4 linked regions of the Macaca fascicularis genome follow. The protein of the gene in region 3 interacts with the protein of the main gene of each other region in a biochemical or structural test. Links are inferred from orthologs where the notes say so. Each region holds a gene or a part of one and is shown on either strand. Other genes may lie near its edges. The genes, in order: COPS5, SKI, SMAD4 and TFE3.

Region 1 (3,563 bases), on a different chromosome or scaffold from region 3:
AATATGTGTTACATGCTTCCTATGTGCCAGACACTGCTAAGTGCTTTATATGTGTTGTTTCCTTAGAGGCAAGTATACTAATAGCAGCCAGAAGTGACACCTGATGGCAAGGGGAGAAAACACTGTAAGACCAGAGCAGTCTGAACCTTTGTATAAGGCAAGCAGATCTACCTACTCAGCCCAATGTCTGTCCCTGTATTCCAGCACTGCATAGATGAGGACATTAATAATCAAGAAAAGGTTAAATTACATTTCTGCCTTTTTTTTGTTTTATGTATAGTACATTGCAGCATTTTAAGAACAAATATGTAGACATATGTTCAACTTCTCTCTTCCCCCAGCTAAGGAAGTTCATTATAGCATGTAACCTAAGTTATTTTCTAATTTAAGAAATTAGTTTACTATATTCATTTTGTGTACATTTGAAATGTAATTGGATATCTTTTATTGTCATTTTAATAGTATAACTATTTCTGGTAGCCTATATTTTTATGGCTTAAATAGCTCTATAAACTTTAGGGTTTTTTCCAAGTCTGCGGGAGGAAAAACATACTGGTTTCCTAAACCATTTAGATCCAGACAAAATGAATATACTTGCATCTTTTAAAAATACTAAGTTTGTAAAAGTCACTGGAAGAACTGGTATGGCAGCAAATAACTTTTCTTGTTTGGTGACTGACTGTCTTTCCTTGCAAGCTGAGCAAATAGAATGACATGCTACTTTTTGCCAACTAGTTTATTTCCTCTTCACACTCTTCTATTGAAGATCTAGGAAAGAAATATAATGTATACTTAATAACTTTGTGAAATTTTTTTGTGTGTTTTAGACTACAATTAAAAAAGTATACCCCATAAAAATATTGGTAAAATATGTAATATTATAGTTTTTCAAATGTAGGTATACATGTAAGCATATAGCAATGCTCTGTAATTGTGGTTAAAGCTAAATGAAGAGATTATAAATGTGTTTGTTTTCTTCTTTATATTGCTCTACATTTTCCAAATTTTTTTGTATAATTATTAATTTTGTAACCAGAAAAGATTTTTTGTTTGTTTGTTTGTTTGTTTTTTAAAGACAGAGTTTTGCTCTTGTTGCCCAGGCTAGAGTACAATGGCACGATTTCGGCTCACTGCAACCTCCGCCTCCTGGGTTCAAGTGATTCTCCTGCCTCAGCCTCCCAAGTAGCTGGGATTACAGGCTCCTGCCACCACGCCCAGCTATTTTTTTTTGTATTTTTAGTAGAGATGGGGTTTCATCTTGTTGGCCAGGCTGGTCTCAAACTCCTGACCTCAGGTGATCCACCTGCCTCAGCCTCTCAAAATGCGGATTATAGGCATGAGCCACCGCGCCCGACCCAGAAAAGCTTTTAAAATGTTATTTTTATCAATATTGTCATAAGTACTAATTCTAAAAGTTCAACAAAAATAATAGCAAAATTAGCTAATATTACTAAGCCTTTACTAGGTGTCATGGACAGTGCCAAAAACTTTATATGCATTACTTCATTTAATTTTCACTGTAGCTCTAAGGTAGGAATTATCGACTCCCTTACCATTTTCAGAAGAGAACCTGGAGGCATACTTCAGGCCTTCAACTAATCTGCCATACTTCCAGAACTTGGACTTAGGTCTGTATACTTGACAGCCTCCCATAATAACAAATATTAGATTTAAGCAGTCAAGGAGAAAAATTCCAAGTAATCTTGAAATTATAAAAGGGAAAACATCTATCTACTCTTGAACTACCTGAATTTGGAAGCAGATTTGCAAATGTAATTTGATTTCTCTTCTCACTGACTATTCACTCAGATTTTATAGTGGAATTCTTTGCAAATGAAATATTCTTTGTAGGAAATTAGTTTACATTAAAATAGATTTTTTAAATGGTAGACTTATGTTTTGTAGTGACACAATACCATTTTCCCCACAGAATGCAGACTATACCACTGGTCAGGTCTTTGATTTGTCTGAAAAGTTAGAGCAGTCAGAAGCCCAGCTGGGACGAGGGAGTTTCATGCTGGGTTTGGAAACGCATGACAGAAAATCAGAAGACAAACTTGCCAAAGCTACGAGAGACAGGTAAGAGTAAATCTGTAAGATTCTTGTTGCCCCTAACTCTTTTTCTTTCAAAATTTGCAAACAATAGTAGGATTCAGATTCCTTATGGCTCAACTTAGTTACGACTTAGAACGGTACCTGAATATTAACTTCTTGGAAACTTTAGGAGCTGTCAGACACAAGTTTTAACTTTGAAAAATTTAGGATACATCAGGTAAGAACATTAAAAGGCTTAAATCAAAGATCTAAGCAGTGTTATGGAACACTCCCAGTCACCTTTTCTAAGTTCAACTAGAAAGTGTAACAAAACCAGCCCTTCAGTGGATCTTTAAAGTGTGTGTGTGTGTGTGTGTGTGTGTGTGTGTGTGTGTAAGTAACTAGGATTTCTTTTTTTTGAGACAGAGTCTTGCTCTGTCACCCAGGCTGGAGTACAGTGGTACAATGGTGTGATCTTGGCTCACTGCAACCTCCGCCTACTGGATGCAAGCAATTCTCCTGCCTCAGCCTCCTAGGTAACTGGGAATATAGGCACCCACCATCATGCTTGGCTAATTTTTTTGTATTTTTTGTAGAGATGGGGTTTCACCATGTTGGCCAGGCTGGTCTTGAACTCCTGACCTCAGGTGATCCACCCACCTGGGCCTCCCAAAGTGCTGGGATTACAGGCACGAACCACCGCGCCCAGCCAAAATTAGGATTTCTTAAATTTATAATATTTTAATATTCAATAAAGCTTTAAATCCTAAGATATTACGGAAGTGATTGTCTCTCTCTCAAATTGTGCTTCTAAAACAGTAATTTAGTATCCCAAATTTTACTACCAAAGATTTTATTAGGAACAAATTTGGGATATGTTCTCTAATAACTTATGAAATAATTATGTGGACCTTCAGATATATAGGCTATACAAAGTTGCATAGATTAACAACATTTACTTTCACAGAAATTTGAATTTTAGGCTGGGCACAGTGGCTCACACCTGTAATCCCAGCACTTTGGGAGGCCAAGGCGGGCAGATCACCTGAGGTCAGGAGTTCAAGACCAGCCTGGCCAACATGGTAAAAGCCCGTCTCTACTAAAAATACAAAAATTAGCCAGGCGTGGTGGCGGGCGCCTGTAATCCCAGCTACTCGGGAGGCCGTGGCAGGAGCATCGCCTCAACCCAGGAGGTGGAGATTGCAGTGAGCCAAGATGGCGCCATTTCACTCCAGCCTGGCCAACAAGAGTGAACCTCTGTCTCAAAAAAAGAAAGAAAGAAAAGAAATTTGAATTGTAATGCAATAATTAGGGGCAGAAAGGAAGGGAGAACTACATTGACTTCTATACACACTTACATGTTGGTATCTATTTTAAGAACTGGTTTGGTTTATAGGGAAAAGAGGAGAAAAGGGTCCCTGAAGTGTATCCTGGGATTGGAGGTCATTTTGGGTTAGCCTTATTTCACTGCCATCTACTCAGTGGGTTTTTAGAAGGTAGAGCTAGTGGCCTGCATAAAAGTTGCATTT
Region 2 (4,111 bases), on a different chromosome or scaffold from region 3:
CATGTGACATGAAGGGTCCCAGCCTGCGAGGTCTGTCTGCAGCTCTGCCACGAGCATCCGTCCCCAGCCCACAGGTCTGCAGGCAGCTGCCACCTGAGCCCTGGCCTGGCAGGGTCAGAAGCACCCCTGCACACACACACGCACACACACAGGCACACGCACATGCACCCTCCGCAGCCCCCTCCGCGCAGAGGCGACAGTCCCTCGCTTCCATCCACAGCCCCTCCTCCCCACGATCTGACACTCTGCTGGAGGGGCGCCCAGAGAAAACCGGGCTGGAGCATCTATTCACAGATTCAGAAAAAAAAAGTTTGATGCAATAGCTGAATTAATTAGGCCTCCCAAGAATAGCTGAGCCAATGCAGCATTCTGTGTGTGCAATTTAATAAGCCTGGATATTTAAAAGAAAAGTTACACATACTTGGGGAGGTATGCAACGGAAAGTTCCTGAGGACCCCACTGAGTAATTTCGGTGCCTCGTGGCCTGGGAGCTGCCCATGCCGGATCCCGTAGATCCTCCAACTGGCAAACTACAAAGCCAGGCCAGCGGCCTCCCTCCCCGGCGCACCCCTCTGCGTTTCAGAAGGAGAGAAGGAAATGGGTGAGTCCAAAACAAATCCCAAGCCGCCAGTAACTCCAGCATGTGGGCCCAGGGGCCTGCTGACCAGGCCCTCAGCCGGGTGCCAAGTGGCCCTCACCCCACACGGGGCACTCTGGGATTTGGTCCCTGGCAGGCCCAGGGAGACCAACCAGCACAGTGCTGGAGCCGCCCAGTCTCAGGCCCCTGTCGCTGCAGCCTGAACACCTGGCTTCATTTTGTGTCTCTGTCCCAAAACTTCAAGGCAACAAACATGGACCGGGAGCCAGTAACAAAACCAGGCCTCGTCTCGCCCAAGCTCTGTCTCCTGGGGCCCAAGGGCAGGCAGCCCTCCGTCTTCGAGGCTGGGTGCCTTCGGGGTGAGGGCAGTCACCTCCACCCCAACCCCAAGGAAGACCTGGGCCTGAGGCATCCGGCTGGGGCCCAACTGGAGCTAACTTCCCTGACCTCGGAGCAGGCCGCTTTCCCGGGAGCATAGGAGGCCTGTGCCTTCCTATCCTATCTGGGCAAAGGCTATGGGCCTGTGGGCCTTCCCCACACACCAGGCCTAGCCCCCACCCCACCGCCACAGCCCCCACTCCAGGCTCCTCCTGGGGGAAAGGGCAGGAGGGCCTTCCTACTAAACCCTCTGGCCCTGCCAAGGGGAACACTCTGAATTTCCCTAAAACAAAGCAAAGACTTGACACATGGGGCACGGCAGAAACACAGGTCCCAGCCTTTGGAGACCAGAGCCTGTGGCCCAGAAGGGTCCCCCACCGCAAGCACATCCACCCCTGCTCCCAGGCCTGGGGCCACTCACCCGGGGCACCCGCCGCTTGTACTTGTTGCCGTAGTCGAACTTCTCCTTCACGTCGTCCAGGCAGCGACCGAGGCGCGCCTGCTCCTCCTTGCCCGTGTAGTCCTGGCTCAGCAGGATGTAGGCCCGCCAGTTGGCCGAGTCGAAGCCCCAGTGGCAGGTCCGGTTCTCCAGGGCCTTGTGCGAGTGCACCACGAACTTGTGCGGCGGGTACATGAGGCGGCAGTCCAGGCACTGGATGCAGGCGGCGCTCGGGCTGCTGTAGAGCTCCGGCACCAGCAGCCCCTTACACTTGCCGAAGCACTCGTGGTACACGCGGACGCTGCGCTCGCTGAGCTCCAGGCCCAGCGCCAGGCTGGCGGCCAGCTCCTTCTTGCAGGGCGGCGGGTAGGCGCCGCCGTAGAGCAGCGCGTTGCACAGGCGCTCGGCGTCCGTCTTGGTGATGAGCCCGCACGAGGGCGCCGAGAAGGGCAGGATGCCCATGACTTTGAGGATCTCCAGCTGGTCGGCCGTGCAGCGCGAGCAGTAGATGTGGAGCTCGTCGCACACCGAGTTGATCTGCTGCAGCGAGAAGTCGCGCAGCACCGAGTTGAGGATCTGCGGCAGACACAGACGCTTCTCGCCTCCCACCACGAAGCACGAGATGGTCTCGCCTTCTAGCACGGTCTCGCAGCGCTCAGTGGAGCGATCGGACGGCATGAAGAAGGGACCGGGCAGCACGGGCGGCGGCGGCTGGATGGCGGGCAGGTGCAGCACGGGCGGCGGCTCGGTGGCTGCGGGCACCGGCGCCGGCACCGCGGCCGCGCCCGCCTCCTTGGCGCTCTCCTTCTTGTAGGCCTCCTGCGCCCAGCGCGCCGAGAAGGCGGCCGGGCCGCCCAGCGAGCTCATAGAGCTCAGGTGGAACTGCTCCAGCGTCTTCTGCAGCCCCGGGTGCGGCTGGAAGCAGCCGCGGCCGCCTGCCGCCGCCTCCATGGTGCGCTCCGTCTCCCCCGGCCGCTCCCGCTCCCGCGCGCCCGGGCCCCCCCGGCCCCCGCCGCCGCCCCGCGCGCCCCGGCGGCGCCCGCGGCCCCGACCCCGGCCGCCCCCCGCCGCCGGCTCACGGCCGATCACGGCCGCGGCCTCGCCCGGGGGCGCGAAGGGGAAGGCGGGCGGGGCGAAGGGGTCCCGCCGCTGGAGCCCGCCGCCGCCCGGGCCCGGCGCCACATCCACGCGCCCCGCGCCGCGCCCGCCGCCGCCCGGGCCCCCCGCGCGTCCCCCGCGCGCCCCCCGGGCTCTAGGCGCGGGGCATGCCCCGGCGCGCGCCGCCAACGCCAACGCCAACGCTCGCGGGCCCGGGGCTCGCGGGGGGCGCGCGGGCAGGTGCCGGCGCCGCGAGGCGCGAATCGCCGCGGCGGCCGAGGCCGAGGGGCCCGGGAGGAGCGGGGGCGCGGGCGCGGGGCCCGCCGGGCCGTCCTCGCGCGGCGCGCCGCCGCCGCCCCGCTCCTCCCACCGCGCGGCGCCCGCCCGGCTCGTCCCGGCGGCGCTGGCCGGCCGCGTCGCGCCCGCCGCCGGCCCCCGGCCCGCCCGCCCGCCGGCTCCGCGGCCCGCCCGCCCGGCTTCCGGGGCGGCGGAGGCGCCTCTCGCCCGCGGCCCTCAGAGCGCGGCGGCGGCGCGGGGCTCGGGGCGCTCGGCGCACATCCTCCCGGCGGCTCGCTCCGGCTCGGACTGAGCGCCCGGCGCTGAGCTCACGCCGCCGCCGCGCCGCCCCGCCCCGCGCCGCCTGCTCCGCCCCGCGCCGGCCCCGCCCCCCGCGCTGTTTGTTGCCGTGCGTCCGCCTCAGCCCGAGCGCTGGCCAAGAATGTGACCCGCTCCCCAGTCGGGCTCTTCCAGGAACGCGCGCTCCCCGCCCGGACTCGGCCGCGCTCGGCTCCGCTCGCCCGGGACTCGGCCACGCTCGGACCCGCCCTGCCACGACTCGGCTACTCTCGGCCAGGACTCGGCTCCGCTCGGCCATGCTCGACTCCGCTCGGCCCCGCTCGGCCCCGCCCGTCGAAGGCCGCTCGGCGCGGGCGGAGGCGGAGGCGGCGGTGGCGCCCGGGGCCCCCCTTCCGGCCGAGGCCGCTTCCTGCGCGGCTGGGAAGGCGCCCGTCTCGCCGCCGCCGGGGCCCAGAAACCCACAGGCCCCCGCCACGACCGCAAACCAGCTGGGGGAGGCCGGGGGGCCACGCCACGCAGCCGGGGTTCTCCCAGGGTGGGACGCCACACAGCGGGGAGGCCCCGGACGCCTCTGGGGTCCCACACACTACCGGGACGCCACACGGTGACCTGGGGTACCACACACGAGGGGGACAGCGGCCACGCCCAGGGACCCCGCGCCGAGACAGGCACCGCGCCGCGTGACCCTGGCGGCGCAGCCCAGCGGCCCCCGCTGCCCCGTGGCCCGGTGGCCGAGTGTCCACGGCTCCCGCCCGCGCCAGCCCCGCCCCGCCCGACGGCCCCGGGCGGACTGTCCCTGATGCGCGGGCCAGGGGTTTCGGGCCTGAGAGGGGCGGCGTCGGGTGCCCCCGACGCGGCCGGTTTGCCAGCCACCCCGGCCAGGTGGCTTATCAGAATTTCGGTCCCGCGGGTCCCGGCGGGCAGGCCGGCGAGACCCTTGCCCTCCGCCCCAGGGCCTCGGAGCGCTGAGACGGCTTTCGGGGCCAGGTCGGCCCTCCACGCCTGGCCACGCAGTGGGAGAG
Region 3 (3,563 bases):
GGTAGATTTTAATAATCAAATACTGTAAATACTGTAAGTTTTAGAACTTGTGTCAAAATGTTCCCTTAGATCTCAAAAAGTATATTGATAAAATTAAATGAACAAAAAGAAGTTGAACTAGAATAGAAGATTTGAAAGGCTATTTTACATGAGCTGATATAGTCGTGTTGTTTAACTATTTTACATACTTAGAATTGCATAAAGGAAGTATTCAGTATGGATAACTACAATGGGTCACTTTACAATTTATGTTCGTTTGGCACCTGAATATTTTAAGGATTTCCTTTTAAATATCTGTAAATTAAAATAATTTATCCTGTGTAGTTAATGACAATTTTGGTAAGTTAGCTAAGAGTATTGCATGTATAATTATTAAAAACACGAACAAAACCATAATTAACCTTTAAAGATAAATTGCAGAATCTGGCGGATGAGTAGGAAGGGAGGTTGCTAAAATGCCATTTTTACAGATAAATAATTTGGGGAGTATTGAAATATTCTCTTTAGGTTTTGGTTTTGTAATTCTTAGCTTTAAGGAAATGTGATATGTAGAGAAAAAAAAATATTCCTTTTCTTTGATAGTTTGAGCAATGGTGACATTTACTGTCTTCCAGATATCTGATTATACTCCCATTTAGAAAAGAATGAGGTGATGCCAGTTATAAATAATTATAAATTTAGTGCTTTCCAAATGGGGTAAACAATTGACTTAATTAATGCTCTTTAAGAAATCAAATTTCCACTTTAAAAAAAAAGGCTTAAAAATGTAGGACAGTAAGCAATATCATAGGATGGTTTTTGAATAGAATAGAAGCCAGGAGAAGTTTGCTTCTCTTGGTATATTGCATACAGAGAGGGCAACTAATTTTGTGTAAATCTGGGAATATGATGGTGTTGTTGAAAAGAAATGACTCTTGGTTTATAAAAGCTCTTGAAAAAATTGGAAAGTAGAGTGATAGTTTTTTTGTTTGTTTTTAACCAGTAAATGGTATATTGATTGGACAGCAGAGCTAGATCTTTTTAACTTCCTCCTCTTCACCATCACATCGTGTTTAAAATAATTTTCTGCTCTGCTTTTCTCTGTCAAACCCTAGCATTCTGCCATTACTAGTACCAGTGCTGACAATGATTTTCAGTTTTCAACATTTTCTTGAGCCTGGATTTTTGGGATCCTAATCAGAAAGGTCCAGAGAGAGAAGTGGTTGGAGTGGCCAGGATGAACTGATACACTTCTGAAGAAGTTAATATGATAGGCCAGACATACAGTGGTGTTTTGCTGGCATTTGAAATACGTTTGTGAAGAAATAAGCCACTAAAATTAGCAAGACATTACCTAAAATGGAATAATTTTGAGCTTCTTCAAGTTAAGGTTTGTCTTTATAGATGACTTTAGGGTTTTTTTTAACCTGATAGGCCATGGGTGAGTTATACTTTTTGCCCATCTTTGTAGTTGTGCATTATCAGATAAAATTAGTCCTTCATTTAGTATATGAAATCATAAGATGACATCTATGAATGTACCATGTTAATGTCTTCTTGTTCCTCTAGGTCAGCCTGCCAGTATACTGGGGGGCAGCCATAGTGAAGGACTGTTGCAGATAGCATCAGGGCCTCAGCCAGGACAGCAGCAGAATGGATTTACTGGTCAGCCAGCTACTTACCATCATAGTATGTACATACTTTAAAAAAATCTTTTAAATAGTTGAGAAAAAAGTAGGCAGCCTTTATAAAAGCAAATTAACCCATGTGGGCCTTAATTTTTAGACAGCACTACCACCTGGACTGGAAGTAGGACTGCACCATACACACCTAATTTGCCTCACCACCAAAACGGCCATCTTCAGCACCACCCGCCTATGCCGCCCCATCCCGGACATTACTGTAAGCTCTTGTTTTTGTTGTAAGGGCTCTTTTTTTTTTCCTTTTTTTTTTTTTTTTTTTTTGGTAGGGCTTTGTTTTCTATTTTTTAAAAATGTTTTTACATCTTTTATTCATCCTGTGATTTTGTTTCATTAAATAGTGCTTTTCAGTAGTTTTTGTAAACAGTAGTAGTTTTCATAGTTATTATACCTTTTTATTTTAGAGGAGTGATGTTTGCTAAATACATTTATTTCTCTGTTGCTAATGTTTCATTAACATCACATTGATTTCCATTCATTTGTTTGTTTACTTTGTATATGTTCTTAGATCTCATCTGTGTCTTGTATATCCACCCATAATGGATTAAAATCCTTTGAGCACTGAGTTCTCAAGGTTTTCCTCAGCATAGTATTCAGTGTACTTTGGATAATGTTGAATCTATAGATAACTTTGTGCCGGCATGGTTGGGAGGAATACCCTACAGATAGCCTGTATTTTCAGGTAGAATAGGAGCACTGTTCATATGGCTTAGTAAAATCAAGAGTATAACTTTTATATACATTAAATTCCTTCTCTTTATAATATTAATAGTACCAAAGAAAACTTAGAAAATACAGAAAAGTGTAAATAAGAAAAGCAAAATTACCCTGAATCCTGCTACTCAAAAATAGCCACTTCTAATATTTTGTCATTTTCCTTCCAGTCATATAAACAGGTATATGTAAATTGACAGGGGGCTCCTACTCTATGTGTATTGTATATGTCTTGCTTCTTTTCAGTTATGTTACTATTTTTTCCATTTCTTAAGAGAATGTAATTTTTAATGGCTGCCTAGGCATAGTGTTTAAGGGTGCTGGGTTTGGACCTTTAACAGGCTTATGTGACCATTGGCAAGTTATTTCACCTCATTAAGCCTCAGGAGCAGTAATACTAGTATCTACCTCAAGGGGTGTTTGTAAGAAGTAAATGTAATAATTTATGTGAGGTGTTTAGCACTGTGTCTTAACACATTACAAGTTTCCAGTTATGTTAGCTACGATTCCATTAAATAAACATCCTTAATTAATGTAAGCACTTGTTTTTAGAATAGACCTAATAGTTTGTTATTATACATTGCATTATAAATTGTACTATATTGGATGTTACATAAATCATTTATGATCTGTATTAAATATTGGATGGAAAATTATGTGTAAATTGTGTAATAATAACACTTGGCAGATAGCACTAAAATGTTAGTTATTAAATATCCACAAAAGTGTTAATAGTTTAAGACTATTTGCTTATTGTAAAGTAAACTTTTAAGTTCTTAGACATTGCATAAGCTTGTTTTCAACAATTCCTAACTGATAATAGTTATATTTAAGTAAGATTTACTAAAAGTTTTAGCATTAGACAACTTTTAATAAATAAAAATGGAATTTTTGTTGTCTTTTCTTTAGGGCCTGTTCACAATGAGCTTGCATTCCAGCCTCCCATTTCCAATCATCCTGGTAAGTGTATTTCAAAATTGATTTCCTGTATTTAGATTTAGTGGTGATTGAAACGTGCAAGCACAGGCTTTAATAGAATTATAGGGTCACTTCTCAGATAAGTACAATACTCATCATGACATGAGTTAATCAACAGTATGAATAGCCGATATAGTCACACATAGACTGTCTGTATTTTATTCAGTTTAACTGTCCCCGAAAGAAAAGAAC
Region 4 (4,163 bases), on a different chromosome or scaffold from region 3:
AGGAGACTGTATTTACCAAGTCTCCTTATCAGGAATTCACTGACCACCTTGTCAAGACCCACACCAGAGTCTCCGTGCAGCGGACCCAGGCTCCAGCTGTGGCTACAACATAGGGTTTTTATACAAGAAAAATAAAGTGAATTAAGCCTGGAAAAAAAAAAAAAAGAAAGAAAGAGGAAGGGAAGGCTGTGGGTCTGGGTGTTTTGTGAGCTATGTGCACCTGAGGATATGGGTGAGACCCTCCGCCGTGTGCAAGCCGGATTGCATGCGTCTGGCATACAGAAGCGCTCAGTGAATGTTGAATAAGTGAACAAATGAGTGAATCAACTAATTTTGGGGAACTTCTTGTATGCCAAACAACCTGCTAGCACCTTTCATACCGTAGAACAACCCTGCCAGAAAGGTATTTTGACTCCCATTTAACAGGCCAGGAAAGCTGAGGCTGGGAGAGGGAAGGTCCCCTTCCCTGTTCAAACCTGGATCTTTGTGATTCCAGAAGTCGTCATTCACCGAAGGGACCAGATTCATCCACCCGTCAAGAATTTATTAAGCACATGTTGCGCAGCGCAACGAACATAGTACAACAACCGCTCTCGATGGCATGGAACAGGCAGAGTACTCCCGGAAGACCAGCTGGGCGGTTGGACTGAGGATACCGAAAGGGCGGGGTTTCTGGTCCGCATCTCCAGGGAATGTAGCTGCCTCTGCCTCATAGTTATGGCTTTGGCTGAGAGAGCACAGCTAGATCGAGGTTGGAGCGCGGTCTAGGGCTCAGATATTACGAATATTGGCCGAGAGAGGGCGCAGTTCCGCAACTAAAAGTTGGCCAGGGGCCCCTCCGTGCGCCGACTGGCCATCGATGCGCAGGCGCAGAGGACCCAAGGAGCGGCTTAATAATATTATCTTGCAGAGGGATAATTTGAGAAGAGGGGGCGTGGCTCCGAAACCGACGCAAACATAGAGGCGTGGCTCAACCAAATCACCCCTCGCCTATTTGTCGCTGCCCCTGAGGGCGTGGTCTGGGTGCCTCTTCTCGGAAGGAGGGCGGGCCGAATCGCGTTTTTCCTTCGCGTCGGAGGCGTCGCTTAGGGCGGGCCCTCAAATCGCCGTTCAGCGATTGGCCGCCTGGCTAATGGGTCGTGGCCAGACGGGCAGTCCATCCCCAGTGCGGTCACTTCCTGTGGAGTTTCCCCATCCCTGGGAGGAGGGAGGAGGGAGGAGGGGGAAGAAGACGAGGGGAGGAGGGCGGTCGTCCGGGGTTAGGTTGGGGGGGCGTCGGTCCCTTCTGGGCGGGGGATGACTCACGGCCCATCCCATCTCCCCGACGCCGCCCGCCCGCGCAGTGCTAGCTCCATGGCTTAGCGGAGGAGGAGGCGGTGGCGAGCTGGGGGGAGGGGGACTCTTATTTTGTTAGGGGGACCGGGCCGAGGCCCGACCGGCCTGGCAGGGCTCGCCCGGGGCCGGGCGTCATGTCTCATGCGGCCGAGCCACCTCGGGATGGCGTAGAGGCCAGCGCGGAGGGCCCTCGAGCCGTGTTCGTGCTGTTGGAGGAGCGCAGGCCGGCCGACTCGGCTCAGCTGCTCAGGTGCGGTGCCGCCTGGGGCCGGGAGTGCCGACTGGGGCTCCCAGGGGCCTGATCTGGGGGGCAGCGGGGGCCCCGGACTGGGATTGGAGGCCCTCGGCCTAGCCTTGGAGGACGTCGGGGCGCCCGTCTTGGGGGGGCACCTAAGGAATCCGGCAGTGGCCTGCTTGGATCGTGGCTTTATTAAAGGAGTCGTGGGAGTGCATTAAACGGGGTCTGGGTCAGGTTTGGGGAGCCCTTGACTGTGTCTAGAGGGGCCTATTCTGGAGTATCCAGAAACTGGTCTGAGATAGCTGAACTTGGCAGACTGGGACTCTGATTAGAGGCTGAATTCGGGGGTTTTCAGTTGGACATGAGGGGAATGAATTTGAGGGGACACTGTCAGGTGAGGCACTGGTTTTAAGGGAATCCTGGAATCTTTTTCCCTCAGTGTGGGAGAAGGGGTCCTGAGGGACACAAGTGCTGTCCTGGGAGCTTGGTGCCTCTCAGTGACTGGTTGCTGTGTTTGGGGATAACATGAATCTGGAGGGATTTGGAGGTATCTCAGATATGCTGCCTGGGACCAGCCTTGTGAGTGCGTGTGAATGAACAAGAGAAGCAACAACATTCAGCAAGACTTGGCCTGAATAATCCTTTCCCCCCTGCCCGCCCACCCAGCTGGGGCAGATCCCAAGGATAGTGGAAAAGCCCTCTTCCCACACCTGTTAAGGGCCTGAATGGGAGACAGACAGCCAGACAGAGGGCGATGATGTTTGTTACCTCTTAGCTCAGAGAAGGCCTCAGACCTTGTTTGGGAACCCAGAGGAGGCTCTTGTTCATGCTGCTACTCGTTCTAGCCTCTCAGCCCTTCCCACTACCTAGCCCCACACCCCTTTTCTTTTTATCTTCTTTTCGATCTCTGAGCTTCTGGGGGTAATCTGTCCATAGAGCTGGAACGAGTACAGATTGCACCATCCCTGCCTGGGTGGATCCCCTCTGGCCTCTTCTCATCCTTACTTTTATCAATGGGCTTTGGAGCCCCAGCCCTCCCTGATCACCCCAGTGCCCATCTCTTCCAACTTCTGTGCAATGGGTGTGTGAGCCTTGGTGGTGACGGGGCTCTTTGCCTCCTTTGTGCCTGGGATTGTGCTGAGCTCAGTGGCTCCCCCGAGCTTCCTCTTCCCCACTTCCTGGGTGGTTTTAGGGCTCCATCTGAGGGTGAGGAGAGGAAGGAAGACAGATCCTTGGGGAGGGGAGAGGATTCTTGTCCAGTGAAGTCACCAGCAATCTCTCAGCATTCTAAATGTTTGGCTAAATTGAAGGATGCATATTCATCCACGTGTGTGTTAACTGTCCCTTGCTCTCTGGGGCTGAGCAGAGCCTTTCTGTATATTGATTCACCATCTTCTAATTCCTCTGTAACAACCTAGATCATCGCAGTAGTGGACATAGTTAAAGGGAGGGGTGTATATGGCTTCTTATTTTGTATGCCAGTGGGTATTGGTGTTGGAGGTGTGTGTGTGTTTTGATCTATCAAAAAAAACAGAAGGCTGGGCAAGCTCCTCCGGCTAAGAAAAGAATGCTTGTATAAAGTGGATCAACCACCCAAATTCTCCCTCTTGTAAATCCAGTCTGTTGGAGTGAGGGGAGCCTTTGATATTTCTATTTTATATTTGGGCATGTGTTGGCATCTCATGAACTCTAACTGGGGCTGGGAGAAACTCATTTGTGAAATGGGTTTTCACAAATTTCACTTGACTTTATGTCAAGTGAATTATTCCCAGTTCTCTTTGTGATGCATTCAGTCTGTGTTACAAGGGACTGTTATGCTGAGGGGTGCCCCTACTTGCTCTGTGTGTGTGTGTGTGTGTGTGTACATACACATATACCTGGGCTCAAATTCAGCTGTAAAGAAAATATTAGGGGGTTGGCCGGGCGCAGTGGCTCACGCCTGTAATCCCAGCACTTTGGGAGGCCGAGGCAGGCGGATCATGAGGTCAGGAGATTGAGACCATCCTGGCCAACATGGTGGAACCCTGTCTCTACTAAAAATACAAAAATTAGCTGGAGGTGGTGATGTGTGCCTGTAATCCCAGCTACTCGGGAGGCTGAGGCACGAGAATCACTTGAACCCAGGGGGCAGAGGTTGCAGTGAGCCGAGATCACACCACTGTATTCCAGCCTGGCGACAGAGCAAGACTTTGTCTAAAAAAAAAAAAAAAAAAAAAAAAAAATAGTAGGTGGGTATGGGGGCTGGGAGAACTCTGATAGGAAGTCAGGAATCCTTCTATAAAGTGAATTGTTATTCCTAAATTCTGTTTTCCTCAAACCTAGGTTGTTACAGTGTGGGGGCTGGGATGCAGGCGTTCTTATTATTCTGACTCTTAAGGGACTATGAGTAACACAGTGGGGAGGGGAAAGGAGGATGGGGGGAAGGAGGTGGGAATTCATGGTTGTGTGGTACCCAGCAAGGTGGCCAAGTATGAGGGGCTTGTGCCTTCCTCTTGATTCTCCCCTTCTCTGTCTCTCTCTTTCTCTGTCTCAGGGGAGGGCTGGGGAATAAGGTCCTTCATTCAATCACTGACCACCACTCCACCTCCCC

The links.
Region 1: the proteins of SMAD4 (region 3) and COPS5 form a complex in vitro, tested with the Homo sapiens proteins (2 studies listed by BioGRID). The link is inferred for Macaca fascicularis from reciprocal best matches to the Homo sapiens genes SMAD4 and COPS5.
Region 2: the proteins of SMAD4 (region 3) and SKI form a complex in vitro, tested with the Homo sapiens proteins (3 studies listed by BioGRID and IntAct, with this or other methods). The link is inferred for Macaca fascicularis from reciprocal best matches to the Homo sapiens genes SMAD4 and SKI.
Region 4: the proteins of SMAD4 (region 3) and TFE3 form a complex in vitro, tested with the Homo sapiens proteins (2 studies listed by BioGRID). The link is inferred for Macaca fascicularis from reciprocal best matches to the Homo sapiens genes SMAD4 and TFE3.

Annotation. Positions count from the first base shown.
Region 1 is NC_088382.1:77,031,968-77,035,530, reverse strand, and holds part of COPS5 (COP9 signalosome complex subunit 5), read left to right. Parts: intron 1-66; exon of another isoform or gene 67-240; intron 241-1,930; coding exon 1,931-2,079; intron 2,080-3,563. UniProt on the Homo sapiens protein: Probable protease subunit of the COP9 signalosome complex (CSN), a complex involved in various cellular and developmental processes.
Region 2 is NC_088375.1:232,546,660-232,550,770, forward strand, and holds the start of SKI (ski oncogene), read right to left. Parts: upstream 2,815-4,111; 5' UTR 2,367-2,814; coding exon 1,398-2,366; intron 1-1,397. UniProt on the Homo sapiens protein: May play a role in terminal differentiation of skeletal muscle cells but not in the determination of cells to the myogenic lineage. Functions as a repressor of TGF-beta signaling.
Region 3 is NC_088392.1:38,667,226-38,670,788, reverse strand, and holds part of SMAD4 (mothers against decapentaplegic homolog 4), read left to right. Parts: intron 1-1,548; coding exon 1,549-1,668; intron 1,669-1,764; coding exon 1,765-1,881; intron 1,882-3,302; coding exon 3,303-3,353; intron 3,354-3,563. UniProt on the Homo sapiens protein: In muscle physiology, plays a central role in the balance between atrophy and hypertrophy. When recruited by MSTN, promotes atrophy response via phosphorylated SMAD2/4.
Region 4 is NC_088395.1:49,199,095-49,203,257, reverse strand, and holds the start of TFE3 (transcription factor E3), read left to right. Parts: upstream 1-1,339; 5' UTR 1,340-1,469; coding exon 1,470-1,585; intron 1,586-4,106; exon of another isoform or gene 4,107-4,163. UniProt on the Homo sapiens protein: Transcription factor that acts as a master regulator of lysosomal biogenesis and immune response.